Rhinolophus ferrumequinum: one gene and its partners. The protein of the gene in region 3 interacts with the protein of the main gene of each other region in a biochemical or structural test. Links are inferred from orthologs where the notes say so. Each region holds a gene or a part of one and is shown on either strand. Other genes may lie near its edges. The genes, in order: NEK9, RETREG1, GABARAP and SEC62.

Region 1 (8,104 bases), on a different chromosome or scaffold from region 3:
TGCCATCTTTGTATCTTCCTCAGTGAAATATCTGTTCGTGTCCTTTGCCCATTTTCTAATTAGATGATTCTTTTTACTAATGACTTTTGAGAGTTCCTTATTTATCTTAGATATATCTAAGTCCTTTGTCAGATATGTGCTTGCTTGAATTTTTAACATAACTTCTACCAAGGAAAAAAGTAGTAAAATTTACCAAGTCTTCTTACATGGCCAGTCACTGACTTAATTCCTATTCTTATGTGTCCCCCTAAGACATATGAGGTATAAAAAAAATAACGCATCTGGGATCATGAATAAATACTTGAGAATACATGTTGTGAAAGCAAAGCCAAGAATCACTGTGAGAATATGAGGTGCCTAAAGGCCAATACTAATGTAAATAAGAACGTGGATACAAATGACCATGTTTGTAAACAATTATGAAAAATATTATGAATATTTCCCCACTTCTCTCAGGAAAGGAGGTGGGAGTTTGTCCTTTCTGTAATCTCTTTTTTAGCCCTGCTGACTGTTACAGGGTTTGTCCAATCGCAGTGGCAATTACAGGACTTAGGGCCATGCAGCTTGTGGTTAAGAAGCAGCATCCTGGAACTAACAGAGCACACTGCTGTGGTGACCTGGATAGAAGTACAAAGGTGGAGGAGGAAGTGAGTTATGTTGTTAGAATCTCAGGCTGTTCTGTTAATGTTCCAGCTACTGTGAACCCAAAAGCCCTTTTTCTTTCTTCTCCCTTTGACTCCCTGTATGAATTTCTGGTGTGGCATTGAAAGTGGTTCTTTCATTAATTTGGGCAACATTGCCATCTGCTGGTAAGAATTGATTGGTACTGCTTCTGAGAACCTGACAGCTGAAACCTTGCAAAAGAGCAGCAGATGTTGTGAAAGTCTCTCTGTGGTATTACAAATACTCAACAACAAAGGATGCCTCCAAGTAGGGAAGAAAATGACCAAATTTGTGGATTAAGATCCAACCTTAGACGTTTAAAGGTGAAATTCTGTATTATTAGCCTAAGAAGATACTGTTTCATAATTCTGACTGGTGCCTTTCCCCTTTTTAGAAGCAATGAAAGCTATTCAGTAGATTATAGTACTCTGTTCTGACAAAATGTCAAAGAAGATAAAAGAGGGGAATATTTTATTTTGCTGATATTTTTGTTCCCAAATGTGACAGTGAAAGTGAAATTCTTTCATGTCCTTTCCTTTTACTCATGCCAAAACTACCAACTTGGACTTCTGTGCTTTTGGTTTAAAGTTCATTAGTATTACACCTTGATTTTATCTAAAAGTAAAATTACTTGCCTTCGATAAAAGGCTAGTGCAAGGGCAAATCAGTTTTAAAAATGAGGATGTTACCTCGTTTCCTCTGTTTTTGAGCCTATTATTCAACATGGTCTGTGTAATACAGGTGAGAATGAAGCAGTTTAAGTAATATTTGTTATACCATTGTCATAAACGCTGTCATAAGCAATTTTTCTGTTTGTTTAATGGAAAGAGGCATGTGGCATTTATACAGATTCACTTGTAAGAGTTGGATGGGGACTTTTGTGTAAATTTTCTCAAATAAAGGCTAGCAGAAACCATTTTTAGGTGTATTTTTCTGTTACTGTTTGTCTGGATTGGCAGTGATTCCTCCATATTCCTCAGTTTTCAAGTATGGCAAATTATACGTGATTAAGTAGAGAAAAAATATTGTCCATAATTTACTCCAGATGGATAAAGTTTTGTGAGTTAGTAATAGTTTATATTTTATATATGTTATAAATGTATATATGTATATGAAAATAATAATTATACATCTTCATAAAGACCAAACAGGGCTCTGTAAGCCAGGCATTATTCTGTAGCTTCTCTCTTGGAAACTGGTATTGGAATTATTCCTACAGAAAGTCTTCTCCTTTGCCCTCCATTCTTAAAATACCCCTCCCAGTTTAGAACCCCTCACAACTTGCTTTATTGACCCCTCACATTTATGCAAAACCCTACTCCAGCAAGTAAAGGCCATTTTCTCCTTTCCTTTTACTTGCAGTTGGACATTTTTCATAAAGCTTCTTTCCAAGAGTCGACCTGAAGTGCTTTGCACATTCATTGGCTGGCCTCTTATTCACCCTCCACCTGCATTTCCCAAAAAAACAGGTAATTTGTCAGTGAATCTATGCAAAGTAGTGGTTCCCAACATTTGAGTATAAATATTTTAACATCAAAAATGTCTTATTTCTCACTGATATTTTACTTTTAGAGAACATGAATAAATTCAGCAACTTGACAAATGAACTTTAAATTTAATAATCTCAACAGTATCATATATTTGTTAAATGGTAGTACATGTTTTGCCAATTATTATTTGTTCAGTCTGCAGCAATGGTGTCCCACCCACATAACATGAACCACTCTGTATAATTTTACATTTGTAGTACCACATTAAAGTAAAACTAATTTTAATAATATATTTTGTCTAATATATCCAAAATAGCATTTCACCACGTAGTCAATATAAAAATGAGATGTTTTATTCTATTTTTTCATAGAAAGTCTTTGAAAAGCATTTTATAGCTACAGCACATCTGCATTGACGAGGCTTAATTCAGGTGTTCAAGAGCTGCATGTAGCTAGTGGCAGATGCCACATTGGACAGTGAAGGGTATAGACTTGGGTAGATTCTTTTGTCTTTATAGTAACTTTATGGCCCCTGGGGATCTGCCTTCACAAGTGGGAACTTTGGTTATGTAGCATCTTAACTATTCACTTGTTAAAATATAACATGGAAATAACTTTTTTGATGAGAGGCTGTTTAAAAAATCAGTTATACCTGTAGTATTTCTGGACTTACTAAGACTATTCAAAGGTCAGATACGTAGTTTCATTTCATCCAGTATAAAGAACTGAGCATGAGTATTTCTGTTCTGTCTTCTCTAAGATGGAAAGGGCTATTGAGCTTCTATCTATGCATACTATACTACTAGAACAATTGGCAATACCAGGCTGTTACAGAAAACTATCTAGTTCCTCATTGCAAAGATGCCAGAAAATGAATTTTTAAGCTTTGGCCGATTATTCAGTTTCTCTGAAAGTCAGCGTTTCTGATTTTAAGTAACAGCTTTTTCCATTCTTTTTAACTCAAGAAAGCATTTATGGAATATCCTGTTTAATATGCTGAGCTAAACTCTGGAGTAGACCTGAATAAATAAGCAATACTTATCCTCAAAATGCCATCTAATCAATAGGAGGAGGTAGATGGAATCGCCTCTATCTGGAATGATCTCCCTGCTTTAGCCATTACTGACAATATTTTAGATATTCCTCCAGGAAGCCTTTACTAACCCAGCAAGTTTGGCTGGGAAAGATGCCCGTCCTAATAATACTTGTACTTTCTTTATAATAACCCTGTAACTTATGCACAATTATTCATATAATTGCCTCATCTGTCTGTTATATGGACTGTAAGCTCCATGAGAGTAGGAACCATGTTTACTTTGTTCTCCCTTGTAACCCAGCACCAGCACAAGTTGGTACTCAGTATGTGCTATAACTAGCCACCTAGTTAAAACCCTGCAAGGGTCTCCTAGACTCTTATACATGTACTACACCAACCATATCCCAACTGATCATAAAGTCTAAATGTTCCTTAGATTTCTTAAGTCTGGATCTTCTCTCCACTAACACTGATAGTACCTCAGTGCCTGTTCTTTTTTTCGCATATAAATTGCCTCTTAACTGGTCTCCCTGCCTCTTTGTTCTCCACATTGTCCTCAGAGTTCTTTGTAAAATATAATTTTGTTCAATGTAAGGTGATCATATTGTTTATTGTCTGAGCTGGGCACTTGAGCAAGAAGGCTCTATTAATTATGCTGGGGAGGAAAAAGGGGTAAACTGGGACTTCCCCAGCAAATCGGGACAGTCACACTAATCATATACTCCCCTGCTTAAAAATCTCCCGTAATTTTCCATTGCCCACAGGAAAAGCCAGACTATGAAACTGTATTTGAGGACCTGTCTTCTCTTCCTTCTACCCAGCATGTATCTTAGCCTCAGGCTACATGATCTTCTCTTCGCTCCAACATATCCTGCTCTAGGAAAGAGATGTGGAACCAGATTGCTGGGTTTGACTCCCAGCTCCCCTTACAAGCTGTGTAACACTGAGCAGGTTACTTAACCTCTCGTATTTCAGTTCCTTCTATAGAATGGGAACAATAGGATTAAGTGGGATGATACATGGAAAGAAAACATTAGCGTTATGCTAGGAACACACACTATAAATGTGTGCTGTTATCTCTGATCAGATTCCCACAATTTTACAGATTAAAAAACAAACTTGGAGATGTGAAGTTGCCTAGTCACAACTAATGGAACACGTTTTTCGACTGTATTGCAATACTTCTAGTTACTTGAGGGAAAGGAGCATCTATCTTATTGTGGATTCCCCACCCAGCAAATACAGTGGTACCTAGCGCTCAGAGAATGTTCCATGAGATTAAATGGTTACAGATTTGGAAAGACGCGCTGAAGAATAACGTTAAGTCTGGAAAAAGAGAAGAGAGAGTTTCAGGAGAGTTGACAAAATATTTTTGGAGTTGTGTGTAAGAGGAAGGGACCTAGAGTAGTTCTGGGAGAAATAACGGCACTGACTGAGACGACAGGAGGCAAGTATTTCGGCTTACTGTAATAACTCTCTAAACAAAGCGCGCTGTGCAACACTGGAAGGGCCTGCTTGCCCAGTCACTGCCCTTCAGATAGACCTGTCGCCAAGATGAGACAGGAGGAAATCTGGACCTGGAAGCTGTCTGGGGACCAGGCCAGGGATCAGGGAAGTGGTCTTACAGACTCATCGGTGACCTCCTTGCTCCTGCCAGAGCCCTTCGGTTCCACGTGCTCGCTACCACGCACCCGCCAACCCTCGCGAAGGCCTCACTTTCCACGCGGGTGGAAAGCGAAGAAAGCCGTGGCGCCGAGACTAAGCAAGTGGGCCAGTGGAGGCGGAGAAAACCCTGCTGGGCCGGAAGTACCCAGAACCGCTTCCGGGTCAGGGGGAAGGAGCCACCATGGAACCTCGCCGGGGTGCAGGGCTGACGGAGAAGCAAGGCGTCTGAAGCAAGAGAAGCACAGCACTGCAAGAGCCACCAGGGACACGCAGGCCGGTCCTGCGGCCGCCGCCATGTCGGTGCTGGGCGAGTACGAACGACACTGCGATTCCATCATCTCGGACTTCGGGAGCGAGTCCGGGAGTGGCGGGGACTCGGGCGCGGGGCCCAGCGCCAGTCCGGGGCCGCGAGCCGGCGGCGGCGCGCCGGAGCAGGAGGAGCTGCACTACATCCCCATCCGCGTCCTGGGCCGCGGCGCCTTCGGGGAGGCCACGCTGTACCGCCGCACGGAGGTAGCGGCCCCCAGTTCCGGCCGCCCCAGCCCCTCCGCAGCCCCGCTTTCCCCGTGTCTTGCGACTGGTCCTCTCGTAGTGCTTGGGTGCCCGCAGGGTATATGTCTCAGGGTCCGCTCCACCACTCTTCCAAGTCCCCGGCACTAGGGATTCGTTACATCACTGGTTTTACTTACTGGTCGTTTTTGTTTAACCCGGGGAACTGAGCAAGTCATTGAAACTGCTCTTAGCCTTAGTTTCCCCATCTATAAAATGGGTTAGTTATAACTACCTTAAAATAATCTTTATTCTTAAAGGTTATTTTGAGACTCAAACAAAGGTGCTTTGCAAACTGTAAGTTATAAAGTGGTCCACGTTAAAGTGTTGCCAAAGTTATTCCCTCTCAGCTCTCCAAGGTCATGGTGGAGAAGACGGGCATAGCTTCAAAATTCCCACATCAATGGCAATTCTGCCATCTTTGCCATTCTTTAAGCTCAGATGTGAACACTCAATTGGAAATTTTTCTTGAAGAGTAGGGAGATCGTTTACCCAGCAGCGTTTGTGCCTGGGAAATACTTCTTCGGTATGTTCTATGCCGTTGATTTTTAACTTTAGAGGGCACAAGGACCCCTTTGGGAACCTAATGTAAATATAATCACCCCGTCCACATTTGCACATATACATATCCTTTGAAGAGATTCATGGATCGCTGACCCCCAAGTTCAGAATGAAGACTGATCTAAAACTCTGCAGTGGTGACTCTACTTACAAAAACTAACCATAAACTGATTTTGATCATTCACGTCTTAAAATTTTAGCTTTAGAATAAATAGTTAAGCATTTAATGTGAGACTATGGTGGGGTTATTGAAAGTGATTCATCCATCAATGAGCCATCTGGAGTTCTGGTGTGTGTTCCAAACTAGCGTAGTTTTAAGGCTAAAAGATGGAGAGAGGTGGTTGCAAGAGAATATCTTTAAGTGTTCTTTTTTGTCATAATGCCACATTAATGTATGATATTAGTGTTAGTATTCTGTTTTCTTATTTGTACTCAATATGAGAAAGAGGAGATAAGCATTAGTATTCCTGTTTTATAGTTAAAAAACTGAGACAGTATATTTAAGTGACTTGCTCACTTAAATTAGAAGTAAGTCTTGGACTAGAATGGAGTTTTACATCTCCTTGCCCATCCTTTTGTTGTTTTTTTGTTTTGTTTTATAATTTGACTTTTTTTTTTTTAAAGATTTTATTGGGGAAGGGGAATAGGACTTTTATTGGGGAACAGTGTGTACTTCCAGGACTTTTTTCCAAGTCAAGTAGTTGTCCTTTCAGTCTTAGTTGTGGAAGGTGCCGTTTAGCTTCAAGTTGTCCTTTGAGTCTTAGTTGTGGAGGGCGCAGCTCAGCTTCAGGTCCAGTTGCCGTTGCTAGTTGCAGGGGGCGCAGCCCACCATCCCTTGCAGAACTCAAGAAATCCAACTGGCAACCTTGTGGTTGAGAGCCTGCGTTTCAACAAACTGAGCCATCTGGGAGCTCAGCAGCAGCTCAGCTCAAGGTGCCGTGTTCAATCTTAGTTGCAGGGGGCGCTGCCCACCATCCCTTGCGGGAATTGAACCGGCAACCTTGTGGTTGAGCACTAGCCCATGTGGGAATCGAACCAGCAGCCTTCGGAGTTAGGAGCATGGAGCTCTAACAGCCCAGCCGGCCCCCATCCTTTTCATTTTTATGTTGAACTTGATTACAGAAAATTTTTAAGTGAAATTTGATTACACTTTCCCAAACTGCGTAACATTATCCACCAAATATTTATTAGATCTATGAATTTACGAAGGTTTAATTAGAAGCAAACCTTTCCCTCAAGCTTATATTTCAGTGGGAAGACAAGTTGGCTCCATTAGTAAACAAATAGCATTTAAGTTGTATGTGTATATAAATGAATGCACAAGTGTCGTTTCAGTGTATGCACTCTGAAAATTAAGGGAATAGTTACATTGAATAGATGTACAGCAGAAAGCTCATCAGGACCTTCCCAAAAAAATTCTAAAGTCCTAGCAGAGCCATTTTAGAGGATGGGGAGAGTAATTTAGGTGGGGGTGCTCCTGGTCTGGGGAGCAGTGTCAGTAAAGAATTAGAGATATAAAAGTGAATGGATCTTGGGAGCTGCAGGTTGAGTTTTCATGAATAGAGAAAAACATATGATGCATAAAAGTGACAGGAGATAGAGTTACAAAATGGGGCAGCATGAGTTAAGTGAACCCAGAGCTGTTAGGCATGACTTACTTTTATCCAGGAAGGGTAAATGAAAATCACTTGAGAAATCTAATTTTATAAAATTAGAGGCAAATTTAGTATTTCTATTTTACAAGCATCTGTGGTCAGCTGTAGGTGACACTCGCCAGTTCTCTATTTCTCCAACATTCTAGCCCTGTTACAATTCTCATCATGACTAACAGTCTGTCTTAATGTCCCTCAACATATTCTTTGAGATCTACTTCCATCCCACATTTTTACCTGGAATTGACATCATGCAAATTAAATGTAGCAACAATGTAATAGCATCTTAATATCCTGCAGTAAATAACGATGCTCCATTGTATACAGAACCTTTAAAGTCTGTTCATGTTTTGTTTAAAAAAAAAAATAAAAGCAGTCAGTCTCTGCCCATCTAGGAAGTTTTCTTTCTAGGTTTACAGATCATGTGTGGATTCACTTGCTGCCAGGCAGGAGAAAAGCACGATACCTCTATTGCTGTGTTGTAGGAT
Region 2 (8,735 bases), on a different chromosome or scaffold from region 3:
ACTATATCAAATATGACCTTAATATTGCTTTGAAGGTTCAGAAGGCTCTTGAGTCTTACAAAGCTTCAGGGTCCCCATGGTTACCACTAGCTGCCCAGTAAACACCTGGCTGTGCCCATCTGTGCATGGTCTAAGAGGACACCTGTGCCACAGCCTGACTGCGTGTTCTCAGCAGGGCTTGCGGCCACCAGCCCAGCCTAAAGGGTCACCGGGTTTTGTGCCTAATTTCTAATGAACTAAAATTAGTAAGAGGTGACAAGCCAAATACACCCTTTGGCTGTCTGTGGGATGTAATTCTCATAGCTATTTCATTATATTCCACGAATCTAATTTTAGTTTACAAAATACTCTTGAGACTGGAGGCCTGATTTGGAGACCTTTATTTAGAAACCATCACACCACAATTTCACTTTGATGATGGAAGTTAAGCTGGAGTTCCTGGGACCTCAGGAAAAGGTGTTTTGGGTCTATCGCTTCCTTGGTAAAAACAAACCAACAACGACAAAGAAACCCACAAACTTCAGGAACTCTCAACAGCTCAAAGGATTGTGTCTAACTTGGGGAATGATGTGCAAAACCCTCCTCTATCTGCTGTGTTTATCCAGAAGTCTCGTCACCTTCTCTGCCCCATGCAGTCAACCTGGTCTGGCTAGCGCCTTGGAACTCACCTCGGCCTTACCCTTTGCCAGGTTCTCGTACAGGCCATTTCCTCTGCCTGGATCACAGCTTCCGCTGGTTTCTGAGCCGCAGACCCCGGGCCCAACTGCCTAACTGACATTTCCAAAGATGTCCCGAAGGACACTTGACAGTGTCCCTCCCAAGTCTGCTCCTCCTCTTTACGGTCCTAGCGAATGATAAGGAAAAAGCTCCTCTGGTGTCTCTGCCAGGCTCTACTTAACCCACTGTGCAGGGAAGGCTTTCTATTATAAACAGGCCCCTTCACTCTCCTGCTGAGAGCCCACCAATGGCCCCAAAGCAGCACGTGGAAGGAGCCCTTTCCAGGGCTCACCTGCTCATTCGCCCTGTCCTGTAGCTCAGAAGTGCTTCCTTTCTTTGAGGGCTGGGCTGGCTTCCCTCCACCCCAGCCATGCACGTCACGTGTACCCTCTCCCGTCACCTGGCCACCGTCAGGTCCTGTTCCCTTGCCCATGACCGAAGCACCATGAGGACATAAGCAGTCTTGCTTTTCTTACTCCAAACCAACCTTTAATAAAGGTTTAATGATCAATGAATGAAGAAATGACGAATGAATGATACCAAAGTGCAGTGAGGCAGAACCAGGACCATAAAGGAAAAAAAAAAAAGAGGCTGCAGATGATGACGTTGGTTTGCAACCTCAGGAAGCCCCTGGGTGAAATTTGACATTAGCCTCTACATAGAGGGCACGGAGAGACCAAAGAAAGTGGCTGGCGGACCCTCAGACTGATAGGTGGCAGGTTTAATGAGTAATGAATTTACTTAGTAGGCTTGTCTTGGGCAGCTGCAAGGTCTCTGCACCTGCCTGCCAGCCTCTTAAGGTTTTATAGAGAGGCCTTCACAGGTTCATTTCAGTCCAGATGGTCTCCACAACACCTTACTCTCAACCTGTGTCCCAGAAATGGCTCCCACTGTCACAGCAGCAGGCAGACGTACGTTCCAAGGCCAGGGACTGAGGAGCCTCTGATTGCCTGGGTAGCAGGTGAACCAGCGGTCACATCCTCTGTATGAACTGCTCCAACACAGGACCAGCAAAGCGGCTAGTCGGCTGATTGGAGTGTAACTTGTAGCACGGTGGGAAGGGGCTGGACGTTCATGTCTGCAGTCACCCTGGCTGAGTGTGTGTGTTGTGTGTGTGCGTGCGCCTGTGGCTAGACAGTACATTTTCTTAGGCTATATTCTTATTGTGGTGGGACCTAAGTTCTCTTTCATGAACCATTCCGAAGCCTTTAAAGCTCTTTTGTGTATTATCAGGGAGTGATACCTAAACTGGGAACCCAACTGGTGTGTGGATGGCTTCACCTTGGTGTGAGACTGTTCATGTCTGGAGAGCGCCTCCCTTACAGAAAACTTGTCAAATGTAGACTATTCTAGTTTGCAAGTTCCAATCCTCATGAGCACAACAGACAGCGGGCCCCCCAAGCAGAAATCGCCAATGCCTTCTGCGAGCCAGGAGTTAAAAACCAGGAGCAATTTTCCTTTCCTTTTCTGCCCGCTGGCTGCTGTTGGGTGATGTTGCTATTTATCTGTATACTTAAAGTGAATTCTCTAGGTTCTCTTGGCTCAGTGACATGAAAATTAGGGGAAGTCAGGAATAAGGAGGAGAGTCTATGGTAAGAATAGGAGGGTAGAATTGCTTTAATAAAATTATCAGCACAAAATAATCTACCTGTATTACTAATAAACACGTATGCACAGCTCCTTCAGTGAAGGAGTCATGGACCTACTGAAGGAGGATTCCAACATAAAACATTTTAGGGAAAAAAAATACTAGGGCATTGCCTGTGAGGCCTCCTGGAGAGGGAATTAATTATTCATTATTTTTCTCTCCTATTACAAGCTTTCTAGCTACTTTTGGAAGAGAAAGGTGAGTGGCCTCTTTTAAGAGTTCCTATGTGTATTTTGACTTTCTTTGCTGGAGCTGTGTTATTTTCTAAACTGTCTCCCAGCTTCAGTGGCTACAACTGTTTTTTCTCTCTCTCTCTTTTTTTTCCCCTCTGACACATTCCCAGTTTTCTAGTTTTCCTTGGATATATAATCAAATCATCTAGCTCATTAGTGTTAATCACTCTGTTCCCAATATACAGAGATGCAAAATTCAGAAGAGAATCTTAAACACTAAGGTTACCCACCGGAGTTTTAAACATGACATGTTCTAAAAACTAGGAGACAAGGTTTATTTTAACCATCATTAGCATTATTTTTATGTAGTCTTCACACTGAATAAATTACTCAAGCATCACAAAGATAATTAGACAAAGAGAAAACACCCAGTAGCACCTATTTACATGTCTATGCCAATGTCAATTCCTGTGACATTATTCCTTTGTCAGTAATTGTTAGAGGTCAGAGGTGAAAAAGACAGATTAGAGCAATTAGTCCAGCTTTTTATGCAAACCAGTTTTGTGTAGCACTTTCTCCGCAGTCATTTTGAGAGAAAAAGATCTCACATAGCGGTGGGTACGGGATTTATCATTAAACAGAGATAATAAGGATTGCAAACTACATATAGCAAATGGAGTTTAGTTTTTGTGTCTTGGTTGTCAACAGCTTTTGCTACTTCAAACAGATCCTGACAATAATTAGAATGGGGGCGGGGAGAGGAGAAGCAACGGGAAGAATGTTGCCAACCCTTCTGGAAGCACAGCCACACTGGTTTGGACAATAGGGTTCCTCATTACCTCTGCATGCCCCCTCCAGCTGCAGAGTCCAGTAACAAATCTTAGAATGTTGCAACCTCTGTGCTGTACTCCTGCTAAACAAAGACCAGATGACATAATAAAGCATCATTTATCTTTTCAAAAGCAAGAGGGGGATCAACACCTGGGAACAGATAGTCTTTCGAGTTGTTTCCACATTGTTTTTTCATTGCCTCCCTGACCACTTTCTTTCTGTTGTCAGAGGTGTTGTACTCAAAGGGAAGTCAGAAACGCCAGAGACCCTGCCTTGCCATCTCGGTACAACCCAAACTTCCTGCCACTAGTGGCTCATTCAGGGCCTTGGGGATCTGCTGCAAATAGAAGGAACTCTGGGCCTCCACACCTGCACCTCATGTTGATCTCCCAACAGAGATTACTGCCCCCTCCCCCGAGCCCCCACTTTACTTCCCTCCTCCTTACAACTCAGGGCAGCTGCCATCTGCTCCAAACAGCTTCCTGAAACCTGAGTCCTCCACTCCTTCTCTAATTTTGGGTGCATGATTTAAGTAAGGACTCTTCGCACAGAGCGATTATTTCCATCACAGCAGTTCTCACAATTGTAACTGGCCCCTCCTTGGACTGGGAGCTTCCTGGAGGAAGAAAAGGAGGGTAGAATTGCTTTAATAAAATTATCAGCACAAACATATCCACAGAGCTTAGCAATGCATTGGGCACACAGTAGGTGCTCAATAAACCTTAGAATTTACATATACCCTTCCTAAAGTATTACACACATACGTAAAGTGCACACATCTGCACTGTACAGATCAATGCATTTTTTTTACATATGTATACCCAGAGGGATAAACGTATATAATGACCACTCAGACGAGCATTACAGAACTTTCCCCAGAAGCTCCCTTAAAACAACAGGCTTTAATTGCTCTGGGAGTGAGCCCCACCCATCCTGTAAAAGAAGGCTGGGTGCTGGTGGTGGATACAAGATGCCCTGAGTCATGCCAGGTTGGATGCTCAGGTGGGGGGAAGGGGCATTTTATTCTAGAGGAAAGCAAGAACAGAAGGATTAAAGAATACGTTTTAGAAATGCAAATAGTGAAGAGTATAAGCAATTACCCTTCTTTCCTCTCCCCACACTCATCCAGAAGCACCAGAGCCAGTGAGGCCCGGTATGGGAGGTTTCGGGATTCTCTGTCACCTCTCCTCTACCTCACCCCTGTCCTGATGTCTGCTGGGACAGAGACCAGAGTGACTCTGGAGTAAGGCTTGCCAAACTGCCTTCGACACATGCAAAGCATCCACTCTCCTCAGGGGTTCTTCCTTCTGAGCTCCTGGTTCATCTGTGCCTCCCACAAACCAACGTGCCTTCTGGAGCCAGGTGCCTTTGCCCACAGTGAGAGAGGAAGCGCCTTCCCCCTTCGCTGAGGCCTGGCGTTTCCTCGCTTGTAAAAACCGGCCAGAAGCTTAGTAATTGACCCAAATGTTTTTTTTTTTTTCCTTCTCAATCCGTGATGACATTTATATCATCATGTTATTCCCAGAGTATTACAGACCTCTGCTATGGTTGGGTGGGTTGTCTCTGCGAGGGCACTGGGCCGGGGGATCGCTGGTGGCTGGCATCCGCTCCCAGGGGAAGGGACACCCCATAAAGCCCTGCAAGGCTGCGGATGGGCGAGTGGTGGCCCTGGCTCTGAGAAAGTGAAGATGTCCAATGGATTCTGCCGGTAGTCCCGACTCCCTTTTAGACAAGTCACCCGGCGGCGGTCCTCTGCTTCGCCCCGCTCCGAGAGCGGCAGGGGACGGGGGCTCGCGTTCTCTCGGCCGCCGGGACCCCGCCCAGCTCGCACCCACCGCGCGGCGGAGGCCGCCCCGCCCCCCGGCGCCCGCCGGCCCGCCCCTGCGCCAGCTGGGCCGCACCCACTTCCCCCGGGAGGCGCCCCCGCCGCGGCCAGGCTGACGTCACAAGGCACCCAGGGCCGGCGCCCCGCGGTGCGCGCCCCGCGCGGGGACCCGCCGCCCTTTCGGCGCCGACCGCCGGGCGCGCCCGCGCGCGTGCCCGTCCCGGCCTGGCAGCGCCGCTGAAGATGGCGAGCGCGGCGCCTCCGGAGCTCGCCGAGGAAGGATGCCCGGCGGCGGCTGCGGGCGAGCGGGCGCCGCGGCCCCGGCTTCCCCCCGAGGAGCAGGCGGAGGAAGCGCTGGAGGAAGGGGCGACGGCGGCTGTGGCCGCGGGGCGGCAGGTGGAGGAGGCGGCCGGCGGGGTGGCCGCCGCGGTGACCTGGCTGCTGGGGGAGCCCGTGCTGTGGCTGGGCTGCCGCGCCGACGAGCTCCTGAGCTGGAAGAGGCCGCTGCGCAGCCTGCTGGGCTTCGTCGGGGCCAACCTGCTGTTCTGGTGAGAGCTCGGGGCCGGGGTGGGGGTGGGGGGACGCCTGGGAGGGCAGGTGACCTTGGGGCGCCCGGGGCCTTGGGTGGGTAGTGCGCGCTGGACGCTGCGGAGGAGCAAGTGTGAGCCCTACCCTACTTTCTCGGCCACCTTTCTCGAACAGGTAGACACTCACTTCAACTTTCCTCCAGACCACTCTTGCCTGTAAACAGTTGTCATCCTCCGTCTGTGTTTCCAGCCTCGCAGGCAAGGTGGTCGGCTGACCCGTCTGCACCTGTACCTACAGGTGTGCCCAGCGTGCTCAGAAACTTCGGCTTTTTGCTTTCTAAAACTCGCAGGTCTTGACCTGCTCCCCCAAAGCATGCCTGAGCAATCGTGCTTGAACTTGTATTCGTTCTTGCACCCCCAGCAGGCCTATCTGGACCAGCTTAGGTACACGCTCAAGACTGCACCGCCTTCGTCAGCCACCTGAGATGGCACTGAATGACTTGTTTTTCTGTTCTCTGGAGGATTGGGTTTACTGTCTTTACTGCACGATGGGACAACAGGCAAACGGTGGATTACGTACATCACCCTGCCCCCTCCCCAGGTGTGCACAGGGTGGAAAACAGTCATATTTTTAGGTAAAATACAGAGAGAATACATAGGAATGTTCTCTGACAAGCCCCTGATCAACAGGTTTGTCTCTCCAGAGAGAACTCTTTACCTGTAAGGACCGGGGAAGTGTCTGGCTCCTTCGTTGAAGGACATGCCCTGTCATCTGCTACCAGTCTGGTGGAGGGCAGAGAAAAGCTGTCTTTGTTTGCAACTGTGTCCTCATAACAAGCATGACCCACACGGTACACATTAAACAGCTTAGGCAGCAGATAGCCTGCTGTAGGACAGATTTCTTAACCTTGCAGTTAGGAAACAAATAAATGCACATGGTATAACACAGCCTACCGTTTTCTAGGTGAATCTAAGCAATTCAAGGATTTTTTGAAAAAGAACAGATCTGTGCTAGTCCTGGTTTTCTCTAAAAACTGGCTGTGTCTTATCAGGGCCCCTAAATGTGAATTTACTTTGGGTCTCTTACTTCTGTGTTCCTAAAGATTATTCCAGATTTCTCTATCCTGTTATGAAGTTATGTGAGCATTCAAATAAGGAGGATATATTTATGGTATTATGCTAGATTGGGCAATAGTTCAATTGTCCTAGGGCTGTGTCTCACTCATTTCACCAATGAGGGACACATTTTTAAAATTCTCTTTCTTTAAGTTTAAATTTTCCTCATTAATGTTACCTGTTTCCTGTATCTTTCCAGGTAGTGCACATCACAATATTCTGTGCAAATTGTAAAATACTATCAGGGTCTTTACTCTTCTTAGTGTATCTTAGAAATCACGTCCATGCCCATTTTCAGCTGCATAGAATTCCCGTTGTAAGGTTGTCACAAATTATTTAACCTGTGTCCTAGTGATGGACTGTAAGGTTGTTTCCAAACGTTTGTTATTTCAGTGTTACTAATGGCTTCATACATGCATTATTTTACACACATGCTAGCATTTCTGTAGAATAAATTCCCAAGAAGTGGAATTTTTGGATCACAGGGGATGTGCACTTGTAATTTTGATGGATATCACTGAATTGTTGCACTTCCTTGGAGTTCTACCAATTTATACTCCAACCAGCAATGTGTGTGACTGTCTGTTTCTCTATACTCTTGCCACGAGCATTTTATCAAACTTTTTGATCTTGTAAATCTGATAGGTGAAAAAGGGTATCCCATTGGGGTTTTAATTTGTATTTCTCTGGGGTCAAGCATCTTTTCCTGTGTTCAAGAGCCATTATAATCATGTTTTCTTTGCATTATCTGTTTTTATATTTTATCCGTGTTTCTAGTTGAACTCTTGGGATTTTTCCTATTGATTTGTAGGAACTCTTTTTATATTAACCTCAGCCTAATTTCTATACTATGAGTTGCAAACATTTTTCTGTAATGTATTCTTTATAACCTCTATGGAAAAGAATGATTTTTGCATAAAATAATAGAAGGCAGATTTGGTAGTATTCAAGAGTGATGTCTCCTTTGTTTTTAATGAGTCTCATGAGAGGTACACAATATCAGGTCTTCAGTCCAGTTAGAGCTTTCTTCTTATCTGCTTTATATTTTCTCCCATTTGCAGTGTCTGCATTCCATGTATGTATTTTCTTTGACAGAAAGATAATAGTGTGGCTTTTTAAATTATGAAATATTTGTTAGCTGGAATTTATGACCCATTTATTAATTTCATTAAAAATTTGAACTCCTCCCACCCCTTTGTTGCTTCTGGGGTTAAAACACTTTTAGAAGACGTTGTTTTCCTTAAATAGTGTATTTCTTAGCAAGTAATCTTAAGTTATGTGATATTCTAACATTCTGTGTCCCAGGACTGCTAACACTCTGTATTTTTTATGAGAAAAACAAAAAGATTAATAATGTTAGCAATATGGGGAACCCAGAACTTAAGCAAGAGTGATAACGTGTTCACTTTAATTGATGTTACTTCATGTTTTTTGGAAATTAACTTTTTAAACACATGTTTTCTGAATGACTTAGTATCAGTTACCAGCAGTAGCTTTCAGGATTTTGAGTTTGAGTTCATAAAGCCTCTGACATTTCTTACCCACCGTTATGTGTAAGATTTTAGTCCTGTGTAATATAAGGACCAACACTGACACGTGGCCATGACAAATGGGTGTTAATCAAGGCTGCATGAAGTTAGCGTATCTTGGAAATCACGTCAGAAGAGTCAGAGAAAGGATAGTTTATTGTCATGCGATTTGCGGGGAGTGGTGCCATTGTGGAAGGAAGCGATTGTGCGGTCTTCATAAGGAGCTTCTGCTCGGACCAGACCTGGATGATAGGAATGATTGGGGTCCATCTAGTGTGTCATCAACAGCCTTCCAGCCCCAAGGAGTCGTACTTAATATTTTGACCAGTATACTAACTAAACTGCTGTAATGGCACATGGTAGAGGGAC
Region 3 (7,452 bases):
CTAAATAAGATAATTTCTAGCTGTGTGGCCTTAGGCAAGGTATTTAACCTCTCTAAGCCTCAGTTTATCGTTAAAACAGAGATGATATTATTGTTGTTGTTTTGAGAAATAAATGAAATAATCCTGAATCATGTACACGGTACCCAACATATAGTAAATATTCAACATGTGCTACCTATTGTTACTAGGGAAGATTTCCTTGTCAAGGGTTCTAATTCTCTCTCTTGTTCTTAGGTAATTCAGTACCAAACTGTTCGATATGATATCCTTCCCTTATCTCCTGTGTCCCGGAATCGGCTAGGTATGTGTGCTGGCTGAGAAGACTCCTCTAATGTGAGGTAGGAGTCAAGGTCTGGGCTGGAGGTTGGTTGATGTTTTCCCTTCCTGTTGTGGTTCAGGCCAGGTGAAGAGGAAGATCCTGGTGCTGGATCTGGATGAGACACTTATTCACTCCCATCATGATGGGGTCCTGAGGCCCACAGTCCGGCCTGGAACACCTCCTGATTTCATCCTTAAGGTGTGTGGGGATGGAATGGAATGGTTATGGCTGTTATTCGTCTTAGGCTGGACTCCCTTTCCCAATCCCAGAATGTCTCATCTCCATCCCCATCCTCTGGCACCAGTGTCAGCCTGAAGGAGGGAAGCAGGCAATGGGAGGGTGTCCTTTAGGCCATGTCCTGGTGCTCAGTACTTCCCCTAGCCCTTCCCTATTCCTCTACAGGTGGTAATAGACAAACATCCTGTCCGGTTTTTTGTACATAAGAGGCCCCATGTGGATTTCTTCTTAGAAGTGGTGAGTTTGCGAAAGCCAAAGGGAGCTCTGTTATGAAGGAATGGTTTTAGGGTTCTGGGAATTTAGAGAATTTGGAGGAAGTAAGGGGTGAGGAGAAATGGATAAGGGCAATTTTGAAGAGGGGAGGCTGTGGGATGGTTGGAGAATGGCTTTCACTAGTTCGGGTTCATTTGTTTTGCTGATGTAATTCTTTTCTTCCACAGGCTTCCTGTTCTTTTGTTCTTGCATCTCTGAATCTTAAGGGTGTATGGTGCCTAAGACTTGAGTTTGGGGGCGTTCACAATTTTGTGTCCTTAGAGATAATTTGATATTGCTGAAAGTCCTGAAGGACAAGGCTGCAGTCCTGGTGAATGGGAACTGTGTATCTAAAGGATGATCACCTCTTCTGACACCTCCCTTTCCCCTGTCTATTTCAGGTGAGCCAGTGGTACGAGCTGGTAGTATTCACAGCAAGCATGGAGATTTATGGCTCTGCTGTGGCAGATAAACTGGACAATAGCAGAAGCATTCTCAAGAGGAGATACTACAGACAGGTAAGGGGCTAGAATCCAGGTCTAAGAGTGAAGCTCCAGAGGCAGACCACCAGGGAGTGATTTGAGTTGGAAGCAATTGCCCTGAAATGGGACCTTCTAGTCGTATGTGTGTGGGCGGTGGTATACTGCATGATCCCCTTTGTGGGAATTGGCTGCCCAAGGCGTTGTTGGGATGGGGGGGAGGACAGTCACAGAGAGCGAGTTTCCTTTTGATGCCCAGCTTACCCTGCCTTCCAGCACTGCACTTTGGAATTGGGCAGCTACATCAAGGACCTCTCTGTGGTCCACAGTGACCTCTCCAGCATTGTGATCCTGGATAACTCCCCGGGGGCTTACAGGAGCCATCCAGGTATGGGGGAAGGTGGTGAGTCTGGCAGGACCAGGAAGTGGTTCTGAGGAGGTATTTTGAATACGTGGAGTTGTGATGCCTGGTTTACTGTAGGTCAGGATGCAAGTTGTTTCTCTTCTAAGTGAGACGTTCCCCTCTCTCCCACATGATCATTTCATAAATCAGATTTCTTAAAAGCAGGTGAGACACAATGACAATAAGTTTGACCAGAGGCCTCACACTAGTATGATATGTGGTGATCGAAATTTAATTTTATTTTGGAGGATAAATCAAGAAGGTTTTTACTTAGATTATTGAGTTTGGGTGGAAGGTATATATTTGAAAGTAATGATCCTTACTCCCAAATAAAAGAAAAAAACACCCTGTCTCTTTTGAATCCTTTGTTCTCATGTGCATTTTTCACTCAACTTAGACAATGCCATCCCCATCAAATCCTGGTTCAGTGACCCCAGCGACACCGCCCTTCTCAACCTGCTTCCAATGCTGGATGCCCTCAGGTAAGGGAAGCTAGACACTTAGATTTCTGAGGAAAGGAGGAGGTGGGGGAATCCCAAGAGGAAAAAAAAAAGTTTGACCTGTTTTACTTACTTATCTCTCTTCCCTAAGAATTTAGCATTTGAGCCCAGGTCTTAGACTAAAGCTCATCACTTTTAGCCGTTGGGTTTTGGGCAAACTGAACATCATCTGAAAATGGTGATCATTTCTGCCCCACATCTCCAGTGAGGCTGCCTCACACTAGTGTTGTGGGGATATTAACTATAAGGACTCTACCAATGCAAGTTATTGTCATCCCAGGTTCACCGCTGATGTTCGTTCTGTGCTGAGCCGAAACCTTCACCAACATAGGCTCTGGTGACAGCTGCTCCCCCTCCACCTGAGTTGGGGTGGGGGGGAAAGGGAGGGTGAGCCCTCAGGATGCCGTCTGATGCCCTGTCCAATGGTGAGGACTGCCTGGGCAGGGTCTGCCCCTCCCTCCCCTCTCTGCCCTGGGAGCCCTGCACTCTGTATGGAGTCTGGATGGACACATGGGCTAGATTCTGAAGCAGCCTCACTCTAACTTCGTGTTCAAACTCCTTGGAAACCCCAGACTGGGACATAAGCAGAGGCCTAGGAGAGCCGAAACTGTGTCTGTGGTGGAGAGACAGGACTGGCCAGAGTGAGAGACAGACATTCGGTAATCCAGGAGGCTCAGAGAGAAGCCAAGCCAGCTTTGTTGTGATTTGATTTTTTTAAAACTCTTGTATAAAACTGATCTAATTCTTTACTCCAAGGGCTGGGCTGTGGGTGGGAAACTGGGATTTGGGCCACTGGATTTTCCCCAAACTTGTCCTCCCTTTACTTTTCCCTCTGTTTTCCCTTTTTCCTAGATTTCCTCAGACCTGTAACCAGTTTTTTTTTTTTTTTTTTTTTCTCTTTTTTTCTTTCCTCTCTTTTAAACCATGCATTATAACTTGGAAACCAAAGCTGCCCTAGGTCCTTCTCTGGGGTTTGGGTAAATGAAGGGGAGGGGTCTTTGTTCACATCCATCCTGCCCTCTAGGCAGAGGGGAGAGACTGCTGTTGGGCCCAAGGGGTAAGGGGAAAATGTGGTGTTGGGTTGTCTGATGAAGTAGTGAACATTGACATCAGATGATTTGGCGGGAAGTGAAGGGTCAGCGCCCTGGCTGGGAGCGAAAAGTACAGCTATATGTCTGGAGAAGACTCGAGCTCCAGAGCAAGACACAGAAATATGAAAGGAGAAGCCTGAATGCCAGAAAAGGCATATAGCTGGAGAGAGGCTGGGCTGGGGGGACTGACGTAGACAAGCTAAGTGGGCGCCGCCCGCAGGTAGCTTGTGCCACAGGCCGTCCACTCCCCGGTCAGGTTAACCTCCCTCCCGCCTCCGGCTCCCCGCGCCCTCCTCCCCGAAGCCGGCTCTACTTCCTTGTAGCTGCCACGTGATGCTCCGCCCTTCTCTGAGATCACATGATTTCGTTGATACAAATACTAGTGGTGTTCTTCCGCGCTGACGTAGTCCCAAACGTTTCGGACCTTTACATTCCCTCTTGGTCCACTCATTCCTGGTACTTATGCTTTCTGTGCATCTCTCTAAACATATATTTCGTTTCTGCGCTCCTGTATTTCCGAAGGCCACCTCCTCCATTTGGGTACTATTTTGTTTTGGTGTCAACGGCCGTCTTTAGCGTACCAGCACATTTCTTGAATAGCTATCCTTGTAATTCTCTGCTTTTTCCTTTACGTTATGTCCGAAAAGAATTTTTGATGAATAAGTCTCAAGTTATGATTACTATCTCCTAGCTTCTTTTCACCCCTAGCTTCGTGGGGGAAGGTCGGGAAACGGGTTTTCAGTTATTTTTGACGGTAGCAAAAGCCAACCACCTTTGCTACGTCGCCTGCGTAACCCACAAGTTGATTCCGAAGCTATTACGCTGACGGCGTGGCGGGGGCAGGGGGGTGGTCAGTAGGTGGTGCTAAGTTAGCGGCGTCAGGGCTGCTGCGCTAGTGGCGTAATGTAGCAGGCAGGGCGGCCCCTGATGGGCGGGGGCGGGGTTGGTGAATAGGGAAGTGGCGCAAGTCCTGGGATCGCTCCGCTGAATCCGCCCGCGCGTCGCCGCCGTCGCCGCCTCCCCCAGTCCCGGCCCCCCCGGGTTCCCTCAGCCCAGCCTTGTCCAGCCCGGTTCCCGGGAGGATGAAGTTCGTGTATAAAGAGGAGCATCCGTTCGAGAAGCGCCGCTCTGAGGGCGAGAAGATCCGAAAGAAATACCCGGACCGGGTCCCGGTGAGGACCGTAGCCAGGGCCGAGGGCGCGGGGCGCTGGCGCTGGTGCTGGCGCTGACGCCACAGCCTGGGCTTGGGTCGGGGACGGGCAGTTTGGGTATCAAGCTTCCTGCTGTGGCAGGGTTGGGAACGAACCTGAAACTGCTGTCTCTGGGACCGGAGGTGAAAGGAGTGGGGTAGCGGTGGTAGCTGGGGGTGAGGGGGTGTAGATGGGAGAGATAGACCTTGAGATTCGTGTGGGAGGCTGTAGGGAGTTTGACAGTCTGAATGTCACATGGTCATTCCCCCGAGTTCTTGAGATTGAAGCTGTAGTCGCCCCAGACAAGTCATTCCCGTCTAATGAAGGTAATTATTTATTATGACAGGGACCTGGATGATTAGGTGAGTTGAGTCAGTGGGGTTAGAATCTCTACTCAGGTCTGCACCGCGTGTTCATAGACAAAGAATTGAGTCTGGGGTAGGTCTGCGTGCTAGAAATACTGTTGCTTGAGTTCCTGACAGGTGGAGCTGTGGGACGCTATACCTACTGTCTCCTAATTTTCATCTTCCCTTTATCAGGTGATAGTAGAAAAGGCTCCCAAAGCTCGGATAGGAGACCTTGACAAAAAGAAATACCTGGTGCCTTCTGATCTCACAGGTGGGAACCTGACCCAATACTCAAGTTTGCTTCCTGTGGGTGTGAGTGCAATCTCTGTGGGAGGAGGCTCCACATAGCAGCTGTTCTTTTGAGGGCTTTTGTGCTATCTGTGACTTTATCACACCTTGTATCTTTGGCAGTTGGTCAGTTCTACTTCTTGATCCGGAAGCGAATTCATCTCCGAGCTGAGGATGCCTTGTTTTTCTTTGTCAACAATGTCATTCCACCCACCAGTGCCACGATGGGTCAGCTATACCAGGTACGGGGACTGGGACGTAATGGAGGCTTTGGAGAGGAGGTGGAAGAGCGTGAGAGGAAGCAAGTTTTACGTCGGTAGTTCTTGGACTAGCTGGCTTGCTGAGCTCTCAATTTTATCTTTGGCCTGAAACTTTGTGGATAGTCCTGAGTTGGGGGTTTGGGCAGGCAGTGGGAGTAGAGAGAAGGGAGAGAACAGTGAGCTGGAGCAAGTATTCTAATTCTGACTCTCCCTAGTCCCTCCCCACAGCAGCAGAGAACAGTTGAAGATCTTTTTTGCCCAGGGCTGCTTCTAGGGATAATCCGACTAGACTACTAGGGCTTGGAGCAAGTGATGAAGAGAATCAAGGCACTGGTTTTGGGAGTTTTCAAAAAGAATGGTTTTTAAAGCATGTGTTTGGGTGGCAGGTGGTTTAGGTAACTAAAGCTCAGATGTCTGAGCAGCATCATTTTCTGTTTTCACTCCAGGAACACCATGAAGAAGACTTCTTTCTATACATTGCGTACAGTGACGAAAGTGTCTATGGTCTGTGAAACTGCTGCCCCTGCAGTGGGGGGGTCCCATTCTACAAAGAGAGAGGTGGCCCCCCTTCCTTGACCACCTCCTCCTTCAGGCTCAAACACCACCTCCCTTCAGGACCTGCACTTCCTAATGTTTGAGGCTCTTTTCCCAGACCCTCTTAGCAGGAGGGTTAATGGGTGGAGATGGCCTCTAGTACCTCTCCTTCCTCCTTTCTTCCCCTTTCTATACCACTTTCCCACTCTGCTTTAGACTTCTTGATTGTCAATCTCTGTCACATCCAGTGATTGTTTTGGTTTCTGTTCCCTTTCTAACTGCTCAAGGGGCTCAGAACCCCAACAATCCTTTCCTTTCACTACCTTTTTTTGGGGTAGATGGAAGGGACTGAAATTGTGGGGGGAAGGTAGGAGGCACATTAATAAAGAGGAAACCAAGCTGAACTGGATTTTGCTTTGTATTCCTTCCCTCCCCCTTTTGTTTTTTAGTCATCGGTGGTGGGAAAGAGGTTGGAGGGATGGTCATATATTTCAGTTTATTCTGTTGATGTTGGGGTAGCTTTTCCTTGTGCATAAAAAGGGTGCTTTTATTGTGATGGATGAGATACTCTGAGTTGTTTCTTGAAACTTTAGCTTTATCTACATGTGTATTGGGTCCTTATGGAAAGAATAACTTTTTTATTGTGGGTTCCTGTGGAGAAAGTTTGATAGTACCTGCTTTAGATATACACATCCAAGTTTATTACAACCTTTTGGATTAAGGAAGTTTTCGCGTGTGGAGGCTGCTAAAAGGACTCTGTCTTCAGATGTATGTCACCTGGCCAGACTTTGTGCCAGAATATGGGATCCAGTGGAGGGGAATCCAAGGGAGGGAGAAGACTGGGACGAGGGAACCATTATCACCAGGAAAACTTCATCTTCCAGCAACCACTTCTCCGTTTGGCCGGAAGTGGGGCGGTCCCCCGGAGGGGAGAAAGAAGCTGCAGAATGAGGCAGTATGGTGGCCGAGAGTTCTAATGCCGGCTTTCCCTTCTTTCTTAGTCCCGCTCAGCCTACATTTCCCAGGAGCCTGCGCGCGCTCTTCCGTTCTACCCTCTGCTCCCAATCTCCCCGCCACTCCCCGGGGGAAGGGAGCGGTTTAGTGCGCCTGCGCCAGTCCGTGGCTTGATGGGGACTGAAGTTCCCAAGGTTTATGCAGTCCCCTTTCCGCTGTCCCCTGACGGACTACAAGTCCCTTGATGCATTGCGCATCGGCGCCCGCGTAGGGAGGGGGGAGGAGATGAGGGAGGGAGGAGAGAGGAGGAGGAGGGAGCAGGCGGCCGGCGGCGCGGGGGGAGGGGGCCCGGTCCGGGAGTGCGGGAGGCAGTGGTAGAGGGAGGTGGCGGCAGCGGCTAGCGGACTCGAGTCACCACCGGGCCGAGGCAGACACCTCTGTGGAACGAGGCAGTAGGAGTACCGAGCACCGGAGGCGGCACCGGGAGCCCGGGTTAGGGGAGGGGGGCGCCGGACCAAGAGGAGGGGAGGGGGCGATGCTGGAAGCCATGGCGGAGCCCAGTCCCGAAGGTGAGCTCTCGACCGGCACGGAACGCTGA
Region 4 (7,808 bases), on a different chromosome or scaffold from region 3:
AAATTAGGGAAGCCTTTTATTAAATTGGTTTCCTGTAAATTCCACAGAGGACTCTCTAGATAATAGAGGCCTTGGGATCTAGTGAAGACTTCCTAATTATCTTGTCTGCCTAGAAGTATATTTCTCTCAGTTACTAAGACTCCAGAGGATAAGGACGATGTCATTGTCATCATTCATTCTTCACTCCATCGACACCCACGCACTCTGACCCAGGCACTGAGACACTGAGAACAGTAGAATGAGACCTATACCTGCCCTTGAAGGGTTCACAGTCTGCTAGAAATAAAAACAGTGAATTACAACATAAATTATATATACTATAGCAAGGATTGTACAAAATGTTGGTGGAGCCCAGGAAAAGGAACAGATGAGTCTGCTGAAGAAAGAATTTAGGGAAGGTTTCACCATGGAGGTGACATGTTACCTGACCCTTGAAGGGTATACCGAGTGGGAAGGGGAAGGAAAAAAACAGGAAATATGTGGGTCTGAACGTGCATATGGAGGGATGGGGATGAGGGGGAGAAGTGTGGTCTCACAGTGCTCAAGATGAAGCAGGAGAGGTGGGCCTGAACCGGCTGATTCCCAGGAAAAAGATAGTGGTTGTATATGGTCAACTGGCACACAGCAGGGAATGGAAAGCTCAAGTCTTCATTTCTCAGACTCCCTTGCAACTAGAGTTGTGGTTTTAATTCAATGCACTGAGAGGACATCACGAAGACAAAAGTGATGATGAGGCCTTCTTCCTGTTGCTACTGGCTGTCAGTCTGCAGGCAAGCAAAGTCATGGAGACACAGGGGTTTTCTAAAGCCTCACTGTATCCACTCTTGATCATGGGAGTTAAGAGGTAGTTGTATTATGACAGTGCTGGCAACCACTTACGATCCTGGCTTCCTGACAGCTGGATTACAGCCATCCTAGTAGTTTATTGAACTTAGTGTTGCTATTGTGGACTCGTGACTCCCAAAACGTAGCAATCTCCCTGACTGATAGGTTTTGCAGGGTTCTGGCAGTCATTCAGACAGGTCCAGACTTAAGCCTGCTCCTCCAACCTTTCAACAATATTGGAAACATGTAATTCTCCTCATTAGGTCCCCTTCTTATTAAAATACTTAGATTAGTTCCTTTTTCTTTTTGCACTGAATCCTAACTAATAAATCAAAGATAAGGAAATCATGACTATCCTGTATGTGAATGAGAATGACACGATGAACATGTATGTCTGTTTGAAATGACAAAACAATTACCATTTCAGTTAAAAAGACAGTGACTTTTTAAATGTTCTTAGTCTAAAATTTATGTATTATATTTTTTCAAAACAAAATATCTATGCTTGTTTTTCAATAATACATACTCACTGTCTTCTTTATGCTATTTCTTGAATGGAAGTCTAAAGAATCAACTCACAAATATTAAATCAATTTTCAAATAAAATTAGGCTTACTGTATTTTATTTTATATTAATTATATTTATATCAAATTAATTTTTCCTTGTGATAATAGTATTAAGTCACTGACTTTATTAACTCACATATTTTAAAATGCTTTTATAAAAACCATGCCCAGAAAAAGCTTGGTCATTATTTGTTATACTTCCCTATAACTTTTTTCTTTCCAATTTAGTAACATATGTATGTTTAACACATAAAGGACCCAGAGAAAGTTTTATTTAAAACAAAAAAAAAACACTGAATATATCAGTTTCCATTTTACATAAGTCTGATCAATGGAAATACATTTCTACATACCATTCTCTTCCACTTACTGGGATGGTAGGCCCCAGGAAACTGAATTTTTTAAAGTCCTCATCTATTCATCAGTCCTCCAGACAGAGGATCCTTTGTTTAGCAGAGCATGGTAAAGAGTTTTTAAATTTATGTGCCCAAAGGAATCTAGTAAAGAGCGAAGACTTCAATTTCTCTACTCTATGCAGCAATTCTGAGTTTCAGAGGCAGCGCTAGAGAGAAGTGAAACAGCCCAGAGGTAAAGAGAACTTTTGCTTTGGCAAAAGAAAGGAAGAGGGGCAATGCTCCTCATTTGGGAAAGAAATAAAAGTCAAATGTTAGGAGTGAGATGGCAAATTCAAAGAGAAATCAGAGCAAGAAATGGCTAGGCGAAACTCCCCACTACCTCCATCAAAGATATAAATGAGGTCCTGGGTAGAGTGTTTGAGCTATTTTTATATAAATATTAAATGGAAGGAGGATCCAGAAATTTTACACTTGGATGAGAACATTAGCCATCCTTACTGCTGCTGTACACAGTTGGGGAGTATTGGTAGGTGAGGGCAGTGGTTAGTAAAATAAGAGAATGAAAGGTGGTCTTGAGGGTAGAGTGGGTAGAGTTGTGAAGAATGATAGGAGGCTTTTGCAACAATAGTTCAGGTAGGTAATGATAAAGAGCTGATGAAAACAACATCAGTAGGAATGATGAGGAAGGAAAGAATTCCAAACATCTCAGTGTAGAATCAATAGGATTGGTGACTGATTGGCAGAGAGGCATGGTTGCAATACCTCTAAGGTTTCTAATCATGAGTAACTGAGGGAACAATGATGCGACTATCAGAGTTTTAAAATGCAGTAAATGGGGCAGGTTTTGTGGGGGAAGTGGTGATTCCTAGTTGGAAATTCGGGAGATATCCAGAAGACGGCTGGAAGTAAACATTTACTCAGTATTTTGGAATTAAGCTGTTAGCATCAATGAGAATCCCCAGAATGTATAAAGAGAAGGAAGAAGTAAGCATGGATGTATGGTAGCCAGGAACATTTAAGAGCTGGGCAAAGAGAGAGGAGCCAAAGAGAAATTAGATGGAAGAACCTAATATCATAAATACCAAGGAAAAAGAATAAGTCAAGAAGTGAGTTGCCAGTATTGTCAAATGCTTAATAAGATGCTAGCCAAAAAGGAGTCACTGGATTTAACATAAATTATTAATAGATGGTGGAGGTAGAAACCAAATTGTTGTAATCTAAGAAGTGAATGTCAGTGAAGACATGGGGATAGAAAATTAAGGCTCTTCTGAAGACAAAGGTGGTAAGCCAGTAGTTTCAGAGGGAGTCGGTGTCGACAAAGGATTTTTGATCCCCATCCTCGTCCTCACCTAGCATTTTGCATCTAGTAGGCACTCAGTATCTATTTGAATGCAATATTTTCATTTATAGAGCAGCTCTCCTATGAAAAGAATCCAGTGTTCTCCAAATGGAACAGTACAAAACAGATCCATCATTTTGGAGGGGGAGAGGGACTGAGGGAAATAGACATTTCATATCCTATGTTATATTTTGACTTAATTGGTAAGAATCATAACTTTTGTCTTACCCCCTCCTTGACCCCACACACTCTAATTGTAGGTTATAGAGGGGAAAGGAGCTAAACAGTTTGCTAATCCTGTTCCCTGAGTACAGAATTGCATAGTCCAAACAAGAACTTTAGCTATCTTACTTTATAAAAGATTAGGCATCAAGATACCATGATTTGCCTTAATTACACATTCAATTTTTATTAGGTTCATATATAATATGGGAAACTTGAAGAATTTTTTAATAATATAATAAACGCTTGTAACATAACATTAAGTGAAAAAAAGGTTACCAATTACACATCCAGTATGATCTCAAACTGGGGGAAAAGGGAAAATATATAAATACAAATACACACACAAAGTAGGAATAAATACTAGAGGAAAATAAACTAAAATAATAACAGGTCTGGGCAGTAGAATTAGGAGTTTTACTTTCTTCATCTTACTTTTCTGTATTTCCCCAGATTTCTACAATTGAAAATGCTTTAAAATCGCCATGGAATTTCTATCTAAACACTTACTAGCAATGTAAGCCCATTCTCTTTGGTCTAGGTGGCTCTAAAATAACAATAGTTTTAACAGTAATTCACCATCCGCGAAGTACGCTGCAGTCTTCTTCATTCCCAATTTCTTAGACTCTCTCCTATTTGTCTCACTAGTTGGTTGTACTTCCCTCGAGTTATGACTCCTGGCTTCGAAAGGTGAGTTTTAAGAAGTAACTTGGAGCACGGAATAGAGAATCCAAAGCTTGTCTTCGATGAGCCCTACCACCCTGTATATTGTGTGGGAAAAGATAATTGACTTAAATCTGGGCTCGGCCATCTACCAGCTGTGGAGCATTGGATAAATCAGTTCCCATCGCCGCAGTTCCCTGGGTTTTCCCATCTTTAAAATGGGGTTTATAGAATTTGCACGTGGGTCATGCGTGGGGCAGGGCTCCACTCCAGATAGGAAGTGCCACAGTCAGAGACGTCTAGCCTCCCGGAGCTCTCAGCGAATCGCTCTGTGAAAGGCTCCACTCCCAACGTAGTGACTCTGAGGGGGTGGGGCCCGGGAATCTGTATTTGAGTAGCTTCCCAGGTGATGCAGATGCTCAGTCACGTTTGACAGCCAAGACTCTTTCCAACCCTCCTGTTCCCTGGTTCACCTCTCAACTTCCTGCTGCTCCCAGCGACTTCCCGTTCCCGCAACAAAGGGAGCGGAGGGGAGGGGAGAGAGGGCGCCGCCGAGTCCCGCCGGGCCTGCCCGGGGTCCGGCCTCGCGCCCGCCTCCCCACCCTCGCAGGGCCCCAGCCGGCGGGTTACATAACGGGACCTGCGGGACGCTCTCGCGAGGTTTCCACCGCCCTCTCCTCGCTCCACGTCAGAGGGAACCGGGCGGAGCGGCCAACATGGCGGAACGCAGGCGACACAAGAAGCGGATTCAGGTAGCCAAGTCGAGTCCGGGGGTAGGGGCTTCGGGGCGCTCGGAAGTGGAGGGAGCGGGGAAAGCCCCCTGAAAAGGCGAGCGAAACCGACGGCGGGGTGGGGTGGGCTTCCGCCGCGAGGCCGCCGGCCGCCGGCTGCGTCGTCGTGAGGGGCCCGAGGGAGGGTGGTGGTGGCGGCGGCGGAGCCTGTGGCCGAGGCGCTGGGACAGCGGCAGAAAGCAGGAGGCGCCGCGCTGGCGTCGGCGGCCCGGGGTTCCCGAGGCCGCGCCCGCCCCGGCCTGCGCTGGGTGGTCAGCCTCCTCCCGGCTCTGCCGGCGACCCTCCCCGGCCTCCTCGCCTCCCTTCCCGACCCCGTCCGCTCGCCGTAACGCTCTCGAAATTAAGGCCACGGTAATTAGGGTAGAAGGAGGAGGCTGACCTAAAGCAGCCAGTTCTTTGTGCGCAAACAGAAGGACGGTGGAAGGGGGAGTGCTCTGTGTTTGGTCAGCTGTCCCCGGGGCCTGGGCGGCGAGCTGCCTGCCTGGCCAGATGTTCACTTGCGTTTACCATCATTTCTCCTCAATGCTGTTAGGTTAATGGTCCAATTGAAGCTCTCCAGCTTTCTTTTGGGAGACACAGTATAAACAAACACATCCGCGCTGATACTGTAACGAGCTGGTCGCGCCCAGAAACCTTGCACAGTGTGTCATCCTCATAACCTACATAACATCCCTCGTTCATTCCACATGCATGTCATCTGTGCATTTCATCCCAGCGATTCCTCCCCTGTTGTTCTTGCTCTTTACCAAGAGGATTACATATGTGGCACATCGTAGAGTCAGGATGTCCGTTGCCTCATCAGCTCATGGGCCTAGAAACCTTGATATGTCATCATAAATTGATAGCATGTTGTAAATTGTTAATATACTAATCACAAATTGTTACACTCATTATTGTATCTCTGTTCCTTACTATTTCTTTGTTCAGAATGACTTTTTCTGTCGAATGTTTTATTCCTCCATTTAAAACAAAAACAAAACTGTTACTTAATGGGCTTGCACCACAGGTGACTGGAGTTAAAATTCTGAAAACTTTGGAGTGCTAGAAAAAAAGATGCTAGTGATCAGTAAATTTGGAATTTTGGAATTGGGCAGAAATAAAAAAGTAGTTTCAAAGAGGGTAGAAAGGGGATCATAAAGAGACAAATTCCCCTGAATTCAGACAGGTCATAAAACCAAGGCTTAAGGGTATTATGGAAGAAATTTCTAATTATACTATTCCTAGCCTTTCAAAATTTAGTGTTATTGTTTAAGTATGAATATATAAGACTTTTATTAGAATTTGTGTTGAATTTGTCAAATTTGTACTTACTAGATTCCTTATATTTACACATTACATTTTATGCTATTTAACAAACCCTGTTTTTACAATTTCAGCAGTTGTTTAATATTGTTGTGAAGGTGATCCTAATTCACTTTTTAAATAGCTATTTTATTTCAACTGTGATTTTGTGTTAAATAGGAAAGTAGACTAGGAAGCTTTATAATCGTGGTTGGGAGCTAAAGCTTGAGCCAGACTGTACCTGTTTGTACCCTAGTGTCACTGATTGTTAGCTGTGTAACTTTGGGCAAGTTACTTAACTTTTTACCTCAATTTCCAAATCTGTAAAAAGGAATATTTACCTTAAAAAAAAAAAAGGGGGAACCTCATAGGGTTGTAGGGTTGTTGTGAAAAATACATCAAAAGAATGTAACTCCTTCCTTTTCCCCCTTCCCCAAGGATGAAGGATTTAAGATGGTTTGTTTTGGTTTTTGTTAAGCAATCTGATATGCCAAAGAAAGATTAACACCTATCCATTCACTAAATAAACCATGAGATTGTGAGTTCCATAAAGTATAGCTATTTACTTACTAATGTTTATTTAAAGATCAGATAAGTATTTGAGGACCTGATTGTTATAAATCAGCTTGCATACTGCTAAATCGAACTGACATTTATTTTCCCATCCTCGAAGTTTTCTACATAGCTGTGCTAAAATATTGTAAAGATCTTGGGAGTGCTACTTGGAGTACTACTATGCAGTCTTTAACCAATTATTAAAAATATACAATATCTTATATATTTTCTTGGTTCCCTCTACTCCCCACCAGAGACTCAGACACTCTATAATATTGGCATCACTTTAGACAAAAAGATCAAATATAGTGACAAAGTCCAGTTTAAGTTACAAAAAAGATTCTATTGTAAGACTTTGGGGCAAAAGTTCTGTAATATCAACTGAGTTTCCTGTTGTTTGTTATTTGATGTTTCCTGTTCAGAAAAGACTTTTATGTTTAGTAGATTTGGTGACCTTGAATTGTAATTTGTACATTGGGGGAAATGATTGATACAGACACGTTCAGCATTTTTAGAAGGTGGCTAATTCATTTGCTTTTTCTAGGGTAGCATACTTTCAGGGATTGTGATATCCCATCAAAGTTGGAAGCAAGAGGACTGTTTTGTCACATTTCCTTCTTGGACTCACTTTACTGGTCACTAAAAACCAGAAGTGAGCTAGTGAGCATTGACATTATGTTGGGAACTTTTAATGATTGAGATTCTGAAATGAGAGTGATCTCAATCTAATGAAACATTTGAAAACAAATAATTTTAAGTTATTTAAGAAATGCAATTAGGTAAGTTTTTAAGAACTTAAAGTAAGTGCTTATAGGTTAACAAAATGCTGCTTACTAGAAAGGTTGATTTAGAATCCTAGTATCATGAAATTTTAGAGTTGAAAAGGATTTTCAAATAGTAGGGTTTGTTTGGAATCCTTTAGCACAAATGCAGTTCTTATATAAACAGAGTGGTGAGCCCCAAAGCCCTATCACTTCAGTACCCCACTACCATCATCCCGACACTCCATAGTCCTTTAAGCTACATTTAGGGCCTTGATCGAAAAGTATTACTAGGTATAAAACTTACTGCTTGAAACCATCACCCTCATTTTACAGATAAACAGGTTGGGTGAAGTTAGTATATGACGACCCAGGGTCCCTCATCAAAGTAGTAAAACCAGATTTAGATCAAGTCTTTCAATTCTACGTTGAATGTTCTGTCCACCTC

The links.
Region 1: the proteins of GABARAP (region 3) and NEK9 form a complex in vitro, tested with the Homo sapiens proteins (2 studies listed by BioGRID and IntAct, with this or other methods). The link is inferred for Rhinolophus ferrumequinum from reciprocal best matches to the Homo sapiens genes GABARAP and NEK9.
Region 2: the proteins of GABARAP (region 3) and RETREG1 are reported together in a solved structure, tested with the Homo sapiens proteins (2 studies listed by BioGRID, with this or other methods). The link is inferred for Rhinolophus ferrumequinum from reciprocal best matches to the Homo sapiens genes GABARAP and RETREG1.
Region 4: the proteins of GABARAP (region 3) and SEC62 interact in a test that uses a peptide from one of them, tested with the Homo sapiens proteins (2 studies listed by BioGRID and IntAct, with this or other methods). The link is inferred for Rhinolophus ferrumequinum from reciprocal best matches to the Homo sapiens genes GABARAP and SEC62.

The regions. Positions count from the first base shown.
Region 1 is NC_046289.1:23,493,154-23,501,257, forward strand, and holds the start of NEK9 (serine/threonine-protein kinase Nek9), read left to right. Parts: upstream 1-4,550; 5' UTR 4,551-4,743; coding exon 4,744-5,367; intron 5,368-8,101; coding exon 8,102-8,104.
Region 2 is NC_046290.1:11,173,375-11,182,109, reverse strand, and holds the start of RETREG1 (reticulophagy regulator 1), read left to right. Parts: upstream 1-5,402; 5' UTR 5,403-5,437; coding exon 5,438-5,742; intron 5,743-8,735. UniProt on the Homo sapiens protein: Endoplasmic reticulum (ER)-anchored autophagy regulator which mediates ER delivery into lysosomes through sequestration into autophagosomes.
Region 3 is NC_046304.1:11,590,766-11,598,217, forward strand, and holds GABARAP (gamma-aminobutyric acid receptor-associated protein), read left to right. Parts: upstream 1-4,226; 5' UTR 4,227-4,363; coding exon 4,364-4,453; intron 4,454-5,010; coding exon 5,011-5,089; intron 5,090-5,229; coding exon 5,230-5,348; intron 5,349-5,812; coding exon 5,813-5,878; 3' UTR 5,879-5,889; exon of another isoform or gene 5,890-5,933; 3' UTR 5,934-6,304; downstream 6,305-7,452. Other genes in the region: CTDNEP1 (CTD nuclear envelope phosphatase 1), read left to right, coding at 235-301, 399-517, 722-793, 1,210-1,326, 1,564-1,675, 2,088-2,172, 2,471-2,531; PHF23 (PHD finger protein 23), read left to right, coding at 7,390-7,423. UniProt on the Homo sapiens protein: Ubiquitin-like modifier that plays a role in intracellular transport of GABA(A) receptors and its interaction with the cytoskeleton.
Region 4 is NC_046285.1:72,242,080-72,249,887, reverse strand, and holds the start of SEC62 (translocation protein SEC62), read left to right. Parts: upstream 1-4,397; 5' UTR 4,398-4,688; coding exon 4,689-4,724; intron 4,725-7,808. UniProt on the Homo sapiens protein: Mediates post-translational transport of precursor polypeptides across endoplasmic reticulum (ER). Proposed to act as a targeting receptor for small presecretory proteins containing short and apolar signal peptides.